Arabidopsis thaliana: one gene and its partner. The protein of the gene in region 1 purifies or fractionates together with the protein of each later gene. This does not show direct contact. Each region holds a gene or a part of one and is shown in the gene's direction. Other genes may lie near its edges.

What was found. The genes of interacting proteins can lie anywhere in the genome.
Region 2: the proteins of AT3G63460 (region 1) and AT3G01340 fractionate together in Arabidopsis thaliana (co-fractionation; one large-scale study listed by BioGRID). This does not show direct contact.

What each region holds. Positions count from the first base shown.
Region 1 is NC_003074.8:23,431,364-23,439,312, reverse strand, and holds the start of AT3G63460 (transducin family protein / WD-40 repeat family protein), read left to right. Parts: upstream 1-1,945; 5' UTR 1,946-2,071; coding exon 2,072-2,388; intron 2,389-2,537; coding exon 2,538-2,592; intron 2,593-2,686; coding exon 2,687-2,809; intron 2,810-2,920; coding exon 2,921-3,017; intron 3,018-3,132; coding exon 3,133-3,169; intron 3,170-3,256; coding exon 3,257-3,362; intron 3,363-3,438; coding exon 3,439-3,496; intron 3,497-3,710; coding exon 3,711-3,808; intron 3,809-3,904; coding exon 3,905-4,024; intron 4,025-4,326; coding exon 4,327-4,369; intron 4,370-4,487; coding exon 4,488-4,609; intron 4,610-4,692; coding exon 4,693-4,820; intron 4,821-4,916; coding exon 4,917-5,478; intron 5,479-5,581; coding exon 5,582-5,674; intron 5,675-5,962; coding exon 5,963-6,148; intron 6,149-6,229; coding exon 6,230-6,443; intron 6,444-6,520; coding exon 6,521-6,579; intron 6,580-6,672; coding exon 6,673-6,828; intron 6,829-7,305; coding exon 7,306-7,437; intron 7,438-7,518; and 3 more. Other genes in the region: scpl40 (serine carboxypeptidase-like 40), read right to left, coding at 356-752. UniProt on the Arabidopsis thaliana protein: Required for protein transport from the endoplasmic reticulum to the Golgi apparatus.
Region 2 is NC_003074.8:126,826-130,872, reverse strand, and holds AT3G01340 (Transducin/WD40 repeat-like superfamily protein), read left to right. Parts: upstream 1-1,878; 5' UTR 1,879-1,981; exon of another isoform or gene 1,982-1,993; intron 1,994-2,389; 5' UTR 2,390-2,407; coding exon 2,408-3,316; 3' UTR 3,317-3,518; downstream 3,519-4,047. Other genes in the region: AT3G01345 (uncharacterized protein), read right to left, coding at 154-1,554. UniProt on the Arabidopsis thaliana protein: Required for protein transport from the endoplasmic reticulum to the Golgi apparatus.

The sequences.
Region 1 (7,949 bases):
ATTGGGGTTGTGGATCTTTTCCCTATTATTCACTACTATTGTTGCGCAAATAATAATTAGTTCCGATAATTTGATTTAAAAATTATAAAAGAAAAAGAAAATTAGCAGACCTATAAGGCATAAATATGGTATGGTCCTCACAATTATTAAATTCTGAAAATCATATAGCATATGATAGATTAATAAGCACTGAGAAAAAGACAGCCTCGATCGATCAAACTAACATTCTTGTTCATCTTTGTACTCAGATATAAGATGTACAGATATAAACCCATAATGCAGTGCCCCTAACTAAAGATGCAAACCAAAATAAAAGAAATATATATACGTATGCGTGTGGACAGTGGAAACGTACCGCCGTTGAGCCAGAGAAGCAGAGGAGAAGAATCTTTAGACTTAGAGGCTTCCACGAAATAGTAGAAAAAGGAACGCCCGGCGGATTCGTTGACGGTAACATAGCCGCCGTACTGATCGAAACTAACGGGAGGCTGTCCGGGCAATCTCCGTATCAGATCTCTCTTTCTTAGCCCCTCCTGATTAGCAGCACTCCGCAGCGAAGACGGTTTCAAATCCTTAACCGCCTTGAAATGGCTTGTGTCCATGGTGGACGAACCACCAACCCCTCGCTTAGACAGGTAAAGACGGCTCAGGGCGTGCACTTGGCTGCTGCATTCGATTCGAGACACCACCACACACAGTAACACCAACACCGATGCGATTACAGAGTAGGAGTAGCCCTGTCCTTTCCTCATTCTCTTATGTCTATGAATTATAGCGTGGGAGGGAAACAATAGAAGGTTTTGGTTTTGGTTTTGGTTTTGAAGAAGAGACAGTTAAATGAAGAAACGAGTGTGTGGGTTTGCATCTTTAAACAACTTCTTCTTTTTTGTGGGTCAAAACCTCCAACCATACGAATGATTGTTCCTTTTTTTTTTTTTTTTTTTTTTGACAACTATTGTTTTTGTTTTTCATTTTTAAAGTAGTACAATTATTTTGATAACAGATTCAGATTAAAGATTAATTTATTTATTTTATTTTTCGGGCCTCAATCAATATATATATATATATATATATGTTTCATGTAAGAAAAGGTTGTGTGTCTATGGGTGTGAAGTGAACTTACTAAATTAAATTAGTAATCTTCGAATGTATATGGCCTTCGATTATTATTAGTCGTTTGGGAGAGAAAAACGAAACACCTTGATAGCAACTTATAACTTATAAGTAGAATGATGCAATGATTATTGGTTTTTAATAATTATTTCTCTTTTTTTTCCCAAAACAAAAGTTAAAGAAGCATAAAATGCATTACCCTGATAAAAATGTACAAGTGGAATTCTAAGAATCTGAAGAAAAAAAAGAGCGAGGAGAGAAGATGTCAACGTCTCTGAGTGATCATGTTATGCCATGTGGTGTGTGAGTCGATGCTGCAATCCTGATTTTCACACTTGATATCATTCCATCTTTTGTTTCTTCGTAATACATTTAACTGCAAACAAATATTAGCTTATTTTCTACCATTGTTTAATACGAATTCTATAAATCTGGAACAGAAAAAATGTAAGACAATGATATGAGCCGAACATGGGACTTTCGTGTACTAGTAGCCCCACTGGCCAGATCCGATGTTTCAGCACATTCCTTCCCAGTTTATTATTCATAACAATCTCATTGACCACTTAAATAAATAATTTCAAATTTGATGATAAAAATTTCACGTGTTTTTGAAAACACATTATTGGGCCCAATTGTTGCGATTCAAAGTTGGGTAATGAGATTTATCCAGCATATTGTTCCAAGGCCCAAATAAGATGGGTCATAGGCCTCAGAGATTAGTTGACGTGTCATGTTTAGAATGGCTCTCAGAACCTTAGGGGAGTGTCCGAGATTACCCTTACTCTTTTGAGTTGAAAGTACAGTTTCGCCCCTGTCGAAATAAGAAAATAAAAAACATTCTAATCAAATCTATAATGGTGAAGTAACTCCTCTCCTCCTTTGTTCTCCAGATCCCAATTTACAAGAATTCAACTTCACACACCCTAAAAATTAAATCCCAATCTCCGATTCCAATATGGCTTGCATCAAGGGGGTGGGCCGATCCGCCTCCGTTGCCCTGGCTCCCGATGCTCCTTACATGGCCGCCGGAACCATGGCCGGAGCCGTCGATCTCTCCTTTAGCTCTTCCGCCAATCTCGAGATCTTTAAGCTCGACTTTCAGTCTGACGATCGCGACTTGCCTCTCGTCGGGGAAATCCCCAGCTCCGAGCGGTTCAATAGACTCGCCTGGGGAAGAAACGGATCTGGATCCGAGGAATTCGCCCTTGGTCTTATTGCCGGCGGCCTTGTCGACGGAAATATAGATCTATGGAATCCTCTTTCTTTGATCGGGTGCGTTTCCTTTCCTCGCCTTGCTTTGCTGCTATTGAATCGCCATTTTCACTCTGTTTTTTTTTATAATCCGCATTAATAGAGTTATGTATGTGGTATCCAATTTTCATCTGAACGAGTCTAACTCGAACAACTGTCACAATTTTCAGTTCCCAGCCCAGCGAAAATGCACTCGTTGGCCATCTTTCAGTTCACAAAGGCCCTGTGAGTTGTGTCTCTCTGCATTATTTTGTTGCTTAACGCTGTTTTGTTTTTATCACTCCTCATTTTCATGTGTGCGTGCTTCTTTTTTTCTTAGGTTCGTGGTCTTGAGTTTAATGCTATCAGCTCAAATCTACTTGCTTCTGGGGCTGATGATGGTGAAATTTGCATTTGGGACTTATTAAAGCCTTCAGAGCCTTCTCATTTTCCACTGCTCAAGGTATACCACCACTTCTTACTAGTCAACAACCTTGGTTTTTGTATTACCTTTTACTCTCATTATTGCTTTGGTATAAACCCATGAGTAACTTTATGCGAGGGTCTTTTGCAGGGTAGTGGTTCTGCTACGCAAGGTGAAATCTCCTTTATATCGTGGAATAGAAAAGTTCAACAGATATTAGCTTCTACCTCATACAATGGGACTACTGGTGAGACTTAGGGGTTTCTCTCTCTTTCTCTATCTACTTGACTACTACTTCACTTCTGTCTACTATATTTCTGCTTCTGCTCATCAGTCTTTATTTTCATTTTCTTTTCCCCCAGTAATTTGGGACTTGAGGAAGCAGAAGCCTATAATTAAGTAAGTATTCAATTTATTAAGTGATATTATTGAGGCTCTCGAAAAACTTGTTGTCAAATCCTTGATCTCGCCATTATCATTCAACAGCTTTGCAGATTCAGTTCGACGCCGGTGCTCTGTTTTACAGTGGAACCCTAACGTTACTACTCAGATAATGGTTGCATCAGATGACGACAGTTCACCTACTTTGAAGGTAAGGAATCATTTAACGCGTTGCTTCATATAGTTCAATTTTGGTTCTTTTAGTGATGTAAGGTATCTGCAATCAGCTCTGGGACATGAGGAATATAATGTCACCTGTGCGCGAGTTTACTGGACACCAAAGAGGTATTTTCAAATCATTGATATCAAAATGCTTTTCTCAGTGCTTCTCTCTAGCTTGGTATCATTTTCTATGGTTGGTAAGTGGACAGCCTTGTAGATCAGACGTCTTAGTCTTTAACCCACTCATATTTTGGTGCCTTTATATTATAGTCCTGTTGTCTTCATTCTTGGTGTTACACCTTGGTGAAGTGTAGTGGTGATACTTCTTATCTGTCAGGGGTAATTGCAATGGAGTGGTGCCCAAGTGACAGCTCATATCTTCTCACCTGTGCTAAGGACAACCGAACGATTTGCTGGGATACAAATACAGCAGAGGTAGTGTGAAGGAATCAATAAAAGATACAGATTTGCTGGGTCCGTGAATTAGTTAACTATTTTCCATTTTGACTGAGTTTGATCCAACCATAACAGATTGTGGCTGAGTTACCTGCTGGCAACAATTGGAATTTTGATGTTCATTGGTACCCAAAGATACCTGGAGTTATATCAGCATCTTCATTTGATGGGAAAATTGGCATCTACAATATCGAGGTACCTTAGTAGTTTGCCCTTCAGTAATTGTAAATTATTTTGTTCTATATGAATGAATGTAAATAATGTATGAGGCATAACAAATAATGAACTTTTGAATCCAGCCCTATCGACTGTTCTCCTTCATCATTTTAGGTTTCAGGTCCCCAGTTAACATACCACTGGAAATCAAATGTTTTAGAGTTTAATCTTATACACTTTGTAGTTGAGATTTACCTTATTAGCAAGACCTGTTGAACTGTAGATCTCCCTTCTCCCCTCCTAGAATGGATTAAAAAAACGTATTCAACGCTTTGGTGCAGGGTTGCAGTCGCTATGGTGTTGAAGAGAATAATTTTGGTACTGGTAATTCCATTTACCCAATCTGAACCGTTTGTTTACCGTTGATTACTTCTATCATTTTTATGCTGGAAGATGAAAAGCTTCAGGACCAACATTACTTCTTATATTCCTCTCTATGCAGCTCCTTTAAAAGCACCAAAATGGTATAAGCGCCCGGTTGGTGCATCTTTTGGATTTGGGGGAAAGCTTGTATCGTGTCACGCAAGGGCCCCTGCAAAGGGTACTTCGAGCATTCTATCCGAGGTAGGTATCTATGTACATATATTTATTTATCCGGTTATACCCCTTTTGTCGTCAATTCTAATTTGACTTAGTGTCATGTTTAGGTTTTTTTGCACAGCCTGGTAACAGAACAGAGTTTGGTGAGTCGAACTTCTGAATTTGAAGCTGCAATAGAAAATGGAGATATGACTTCTCTAAGGGGTTTGTGCGAGAAGAAATCTGAAGAGACTGAGTATGCCATCCTTGTGATTGAAAATGTTGATATTCGCCCTTATAAAAACTCATGAGATAACTCAGTTTGGACCATTTTATTCCACTGATTTCGCAGATCCGAAGAGGAGAAAGAGACATGGGGCTTGCTGAAAATCATGTTCGAAGAGGAAGGAACTTCAAGGACAAAGTTGATCAGCCATCTTGGCTTTACTTTGCCTGTTGCGGAAAAGGATCAGGCAGTAGATGGGCTCTCATCAGATCTCAATGGCATTAGATTAGAGGATACTGCGGCAGATGCACTGGATCTTGACGACAGTAACGAGGCAGCTGCATTTGCGATGGATAATGGAGAAGACTTCTTTAACAACTTTCCTGCTAAACCGGATACACCTGTATCTACATCTGCCAAAGATTTTATGCCTTCTGACACAGATTTTTCTACCAAAGGAGAAGAAACGCAAGAAATGCAAGAAGAAGAGGAAGAAAGTTCTGACCCAGTTTTTGATAATGCCATCCAGCGAGCGTTGATTGTTGGAGATTACAAGGAGGCGGTGGATCAGTGTATAACTGCAAATAAGATGGCCGATGCTTTAGTTATTGCTCATGTTGGTGGTACAGCGTTGTGGGAGAGTACTCGTGAGAAATATTTGAAGACGAGCAGTGCGCCATACATGAAGGTATATGTATATTCTTTCCCAACTTGATATGTAGGTAAGTGCCATCTACACCCCTGTTTGTGGTTGCAAAATCTGTAAACTACTGTATGTTTATCTATTTCAGGTTGTTTCTGCGATGGTGAACAATGATCTCAGGAGCCTTATCTATACAAGGTCACATAAGTTCTGGAAAGAGACTCTTGCTCTCCTCTGTACTGTAAGTTTCTCCGACTGAGGGAAAAATACTTAGAAAAGAAAGGAAATTTACTAATTGATATTGTCTATCAATGCACTCCAATAATCATAAAGGAAATGGAATCTGCTTTTTCGTGTCTTACTCAGCGAAAACATTTTCTGCTATCACTTTTAACTCTTTTCAACAATATAATGTGATGTTATCTCCGTGCACTCGTGAACCAAGATGAACAACTTGTCAGCTACGCTATTCTGCTCACTAGAAAACTTCTTTGTAATGAATGCTGATCTTATATTCATTGGCAAACAGTTTGCACAAGGAGAACAATGGACAACCCTGTGTGATGCCCTTGCCTCGAAGTTGATGGCTGCTGGTAACACTTTGGCTGCAGTTCTCTGCTACATTTGCGCAGGCAATGTTGACAGAACAGTAGAAATTTGGTCGAGGAGCCTTGCAAATGAGCGGGATGGAAGATCTTATGCTGAGCTTCTTCAAGTGTGTATCACTTTCTATGTTTCGCGCATAAATTTTGCTGGGCTTCTCCGCTCATATTTTTCTGCCCTTATCTTATAATAGGATCTTATGGAGAAGACTCTTGTCCTTGCTTTGGCAACTGGCAACAAAAAGTTCAGCGCATCTCTGTGTAAACTCTTTGAGAGTTATGCTGAGATACTGGCCAGCCAAGGGCTTCTTACAACGGCAATGAAGTACTTGAAAGTTCTGGATTCTGGTGGCTTGTCACCTGAACTTTCAATATTACGTGATCGTATTTCTCTATCTGCAGAACCTGGTGCGTATGCAGTTGTGTTTTTGATTAATATTTAAGAGAGTTTTGATGATAAATTTAGCTTAACATTTTATACGCAGAGACTAACACTACAGCTTCAGGAAACACTCAGCCTCAAAGCACCATGCCATATAATCAGGTATTTGAGTTCTGCAAATCGTTTTATATTTTACTTAGAATCCATGTAGCTTTCACGGATAACATACTTAGTCTTTACTCTTCTATGGCTTAGGAGCCAACTCAGGCGCAACCAAACGTTCTTGCTAACCCATATGATAATCAGTATCAGCAACCGTACACTGATTCTTATTATGTCCCTCAAGTTTCACATCCACCCATGCAGCAACCAACCATGTTTATGCCACACCAAGCTCAGCCAGCTCCGCAGGTTTCTAAAGTTTTGGTTTTGTTGCATTTTCTTTTCTTATTCTTCCTTGCACCATCATGCATTAATGACCATCCTTATCTAGCAGTTCTCAGATGTCTAGATCAGGAAAGTGTCCGTTTCTTTATGTTTTTGTCTAAGGGATTGGTCAAGCTTTTGAGATATGATGACATCTGAAATATGTATGTGGTGCTCAAATGCATAGTCTCTTCGTTTGTGTGATTTTTTTAGTCAGAATAGTAGATGGATTATAATAGGTATGTGGTTCTTTGACCTAAAACAAAACTCCCCAAAACTGAACATTTTCAGCCTCTAAACCCATGTCCTAGAGAAACGGATAATCTAGACCTTTACTTTTATTCACTGCTGTAGAATCTATATCCTAGAGAGGTCGTGAGAAAATTTTGTCGTGGGAAAGTGTTTTGTTTGCTATGTACAGGTTTCTTGGGCCAACTTGTTGACTATAGTGTGTTTATGCAGCCATCTTTTACTCCAGCTCCTACAAGCAATGCTCAGCCATCCATGAGAACTACATTTGTTCCTTCAACTCCCCCTGCACTGAAGAATGCAGATCAATATCAGCAGCCAACCATGAGTTCTCATTCATTCACGGTATGAGAAATTTTGCCTCCAGTGTGTTTGATGTTACCCGCAGTTTTAGTTTAATGAAGCTAACTTCTAAATTTTCATCAGGGACCATCTAACAATGCATACCCTGTTCCCCCGGGTCCTGGTCAATATGCACCTTCTGGCCCTTCACAACTTGGGCAATATCCTAACCCTAAGATGCCCCAAGTTGTTGCTCCAGCAGCTGGACCCATAGGATTTACGCCCATGGCAACTCCAGGAGTTGCTCCAAGATCTGTGCAACCAGCAAGTCCTCCAACACAGCAGGCAGCTGCACAGGCAGCCCCTGCGCCTGCAACTCCGCCACCAACTGTTCAGACTGCAGATACTTCCAACGTTCCAGGTATCGTACGACGTTTCATTAGCACCTTATCTCTGTTTTGTTTCTGAGTAAAGTCATATAATGATCACCTCTTGTAAACTGATCCAGCCCACCAGAAACCTGTGATAGCAACGTTGACAAGGCTTTTCAATGAGACATCGGAAGCACTGGGAGG
Region 2 (4,047 bases), about 23 Mb from region 1:
ACGTTAGAAAGTTATACTTTTGTTTAATTTCTTTGTTTACCATATAATTTTGACTCTTATATTAGTAACAGTTATGTTTCTTCAGTTATTATATATATGAACAATGATATAAAGAATTCAGTTTTTTTTTTGTCAAACAAAGATCTTCATTCATTAAAATCTCAAAAGAGACAAGTTCATACACAATGAAAATAAGAAATTACAGGAAAATAAGGATAGAAGCTTCATGAGTTTTCTAATGATTGAAAAATCTGTTGAGGCCTTGGCAGATTCGACCATGAAGGCGGGCTTCGCGAAATCCTCGACCATCTTGTGGTCAAAAGAAGCTCTTGCAAACAATGCATCCGAGCTTTTGAAGAAGTGCTCCGTTGAGGAGGCTGACGGGTTAACGAGGTTGAGAAAAAGACGGTAACCACTTCTTGAAGACATGGTCATAATGCCGTACTTTTTCAACATGTCAAGAGATTGCAAATTATCCAAGCAATAGATTAACATGACATGAATGAGCGCGATAAATGGTGAGTGGATAAGTTGAGAGTTTTCAAGGCTTCGGTAACACCTACTCGGTAGAGACAGGGTCATAATGCCGATCCTCTTAACTCTAAAGGCCATTTGCCTATGGGTGGGTAAAGGAGTCTCGGATAGGGTCCAAAGAAAACTTAACATCTTATCTCGACAATGGTAACTACCATTCCCACCTAAACAAACCACTATTCTGATAGCAAGGCGTCCATTACCAGCCCAAACAGAGGTAGAGGGTGCTAAAAGGAGGGAACTCGATAGTAAATTAACGATACTTGGTGTGGGCAGCAACACTCTAGGACACTTCCAAAGAGAAAATAGCTCCAAACGATTCAAGACTAGACTCAAACACTGAAGAAAACGGACCAAACGAGATAGACTATCAACTAGGTTTTGTGAGAGAGAGCTACTAATCCAAGCTAAATCCATCATCACCATCACAGGAAAGCGTCCATTACTCTCCCTAAATGATAACAACATCAAAAAATTTGGGCTTTGTAAAACAGATTTGAAAACAGACCTGGGCCTTAGAGGATATGGGCTTAACCCAGCAGAAGGCTTCATGGGCTTTAATAGTTTAGGTAATGGGTTAGGGGGAGGACAGAAGGGGCTTGGGTTGGGCCCAATGCGAAAACCCTGAGGCAGCATTAGGTTTAGCCGCCAAGCGCATCTTCTCTTTGTCACCAACGACGACGGCGACGGCAAAACGGACTTAGGGTTTACAGCTGCCGAATTGAGGGCGTCAGAGACAAGATCTAACCAAACGAAGTTTGTTTGCGATGAGGCTCGGTCTGCAGAAGTTGGATCTTCCAAGGTAAAGCTCTTCAACAGCTCCGGCGTCAAAGCAAAGCTCCGATCCAGAGGGGAATAGGGAGATGCCGGTATTGACTTCAAGGGGAGCCGAGGAGAGGGATAAACCACGGAGGTCGCAAAGAAGATAAGGGGAGAACTAGCACAAGAAGTGAACGTGTTCAGAGGTATGGTGGTCAAGGTAATCTTTGGATACAAAGGGAGAAAAGACAAGCGAAACATGGGAACACGGGAGAATAGAGAACACCAGATGACATAGCCATTGAGAAGAGAGCGACAAGGGAACGATAGCTCCCGGCACCGGCGAGCAAACGGCTCTACCGGTGCCGGAATTTGTTTGGAAGCTTTGGCCTCGATGAGAGAGAATGAATGAAAAGAATTCAGTTTAAAAATGTCAAATTGGTGTTCTCAATTTTCAACATACCCAATAATACAACTAAACAATATTGAAGGCCCAATACCATATACACGATGGCCCATCTACTGCCTGATAGTATGTAGGGGGTATTAATGTCATTCCAACAAGTAGGGGTAGAATCGGTAATAAGGACACAAACTCGCCTCTTTCGCTTTGTCTCTCTCGTCTCTAAGCAGTAGCAGATCTGAGTTTTGGAGAGTTCAAAGGAAGAAGATAACTCCAATACCAGAGGTTCGTAACGATGTGAGATTTTTCTCTGTTGTTTATGAAGTCTTAGCTCAATTTGATCTTCCAATGAATTTCGTTAAAATTTGCTAGACTTCTATCAGCGCCTGTAGATCGATTTAGGTTATGTACTCTCATTCACATCGGTGGGAAGCGATCAATCTTAGAATCCACGTTTTATAATTTCTCGTTTTGATCTTGTTTTTTTCACAACTTGTAAACATTGCGATGTTGATTGTGTTGATTAATCGCTTAAAATTGAGGTCTGAGTTTAAATAATCCTTGTGCTTACCATATGGTCTTGGCTGTGATAATTTGTTAATTGTTCTGCTTAATAATCTAACACTTTGCTTCGGTTAATGTCTGGATCAACATGCTCATGGTTGTGTTCCCTGTTGATTTGTATTGTAACAGTGAAAGCATTCAGGAAACATGCCTCCTCAGAAGATTGAAACTGGTCATAGCGACACTATTCATGATGTGGTCATGGATTACTATGGAAAGCGAGTAGCAACTGCCTCGTCTGACTGCACGATCAAGATAACCGGAGTAAGCAACAGCGGTGGATCTCAGCATCTAGCTACCTTAACCGGTCATCGAGGTCCTGTCTGGCAAGTCGCTTGGGCGCACCCAAAGTTTGGTTCACTTCTCGCTTCATGTTCCTATGATGGGCAAATTATATTATGGAAAGAAGGTAACCAAAACCAATGGACACAAGCTCATGTCTTCACAGACCACAAAGTATCTGTCAACTCTATCGCTTGGGCTCCTCATGAACTTGGACTCTCCTTAGCTTGCGGAGCATCTGATGGAAACATATCAGTTTTCTCGGCTCGAGCTGATGGCGGTTGGGACACGACAAAGATAGACCAAGCACACCCTGTTGGTGTCACTTCAGTGTCGTGGGCACCGGCCACAGAACCAGGCGCACTCGTTAGCTCTGGTATGATCGATCCGGTCTACAAACTAGCATCCGGCGGGTGTGATAGCACGGTGAAAGTGTGGAAGTTCTCGAACGGGTCATGGAAAATGGATTGTTTCCCGGCTCTCAACAAGCACACGGATTGGGTCCGTGATGTGGCTTGGGCACCGAACTTGGGTCTCCCAAAGTCAACCATAGCCAGTGGTTCAGAAGATGGGAAAGTGATCATATGGACCATAGGGAAAGAAGGTGAGCAATGGGAAGGTACTGTTTTGAAAGATTTCAAAACACCAGTGTGGCGGGTCTCGTGGTCGTTGACCGGTAATTTGTTGGCTGTTTCCGATGGGAACAATAACGTTACAGTGTGGAAAGAGTCTGTTGATGGAGAGTGGGAACAAGTGACTGTTGTTGAGCCATAGATTGTTGTTTGTTTGTTTGGTTATCTTTTGTTTTGTGGTAATATCAAAATGTGGTGTGTTCTGTATACAATTTCTAGGGACCTGTTTCTCTCTATACGTTTCTCAGGAAAGTATATTCTTATGTATTTTAATCAGACAACAGAGATTGCAAAAGAAATGTATTTTTCATAAAACTTTTTAATTCCGATAATGAGTTTTTTTTACTGGTATGATGTTTTTCACATTTTTACCCTTTTATGAGATTCCGATTTTGGCGTAAATTCATTGTAGTTTATAACCAAAATTTAATTGATTTCAATATAAACTCATTTTTAACTAATTAATACTTTAAAAATTTAAGCCTGTTCAACCTTAGTTAATTGTGTTTTTAATCGATCAACTAATTTTCAACTCATTAACCAGCTCGTTTAGCCAGCCACTTGATAAATTTTAATGCTCAATTAGGCATAAAATTTTGATTTACGAAATTTTGCCGATGGCGCTCAAAAAATGCTAATCCGGCTCTGCATCGATTTATAATATTTACCCTTTCAATACTCCGTGTAGTTAAGAGGATCGAGGGTATTTGCGTCATTAACAGTGATAACAAGTGCTAAAGCGATGAATGAAGCGCCTATTTTCACAATTCGAAATCTCTCTCCCCCCGCTTTGGCCCCAAAAAGTTTTTTTTTTTTTTTTTTAATTGCTAAGACAAATATCCGAATCTCAGAAATTTCTCGTCCTCTTTCTCT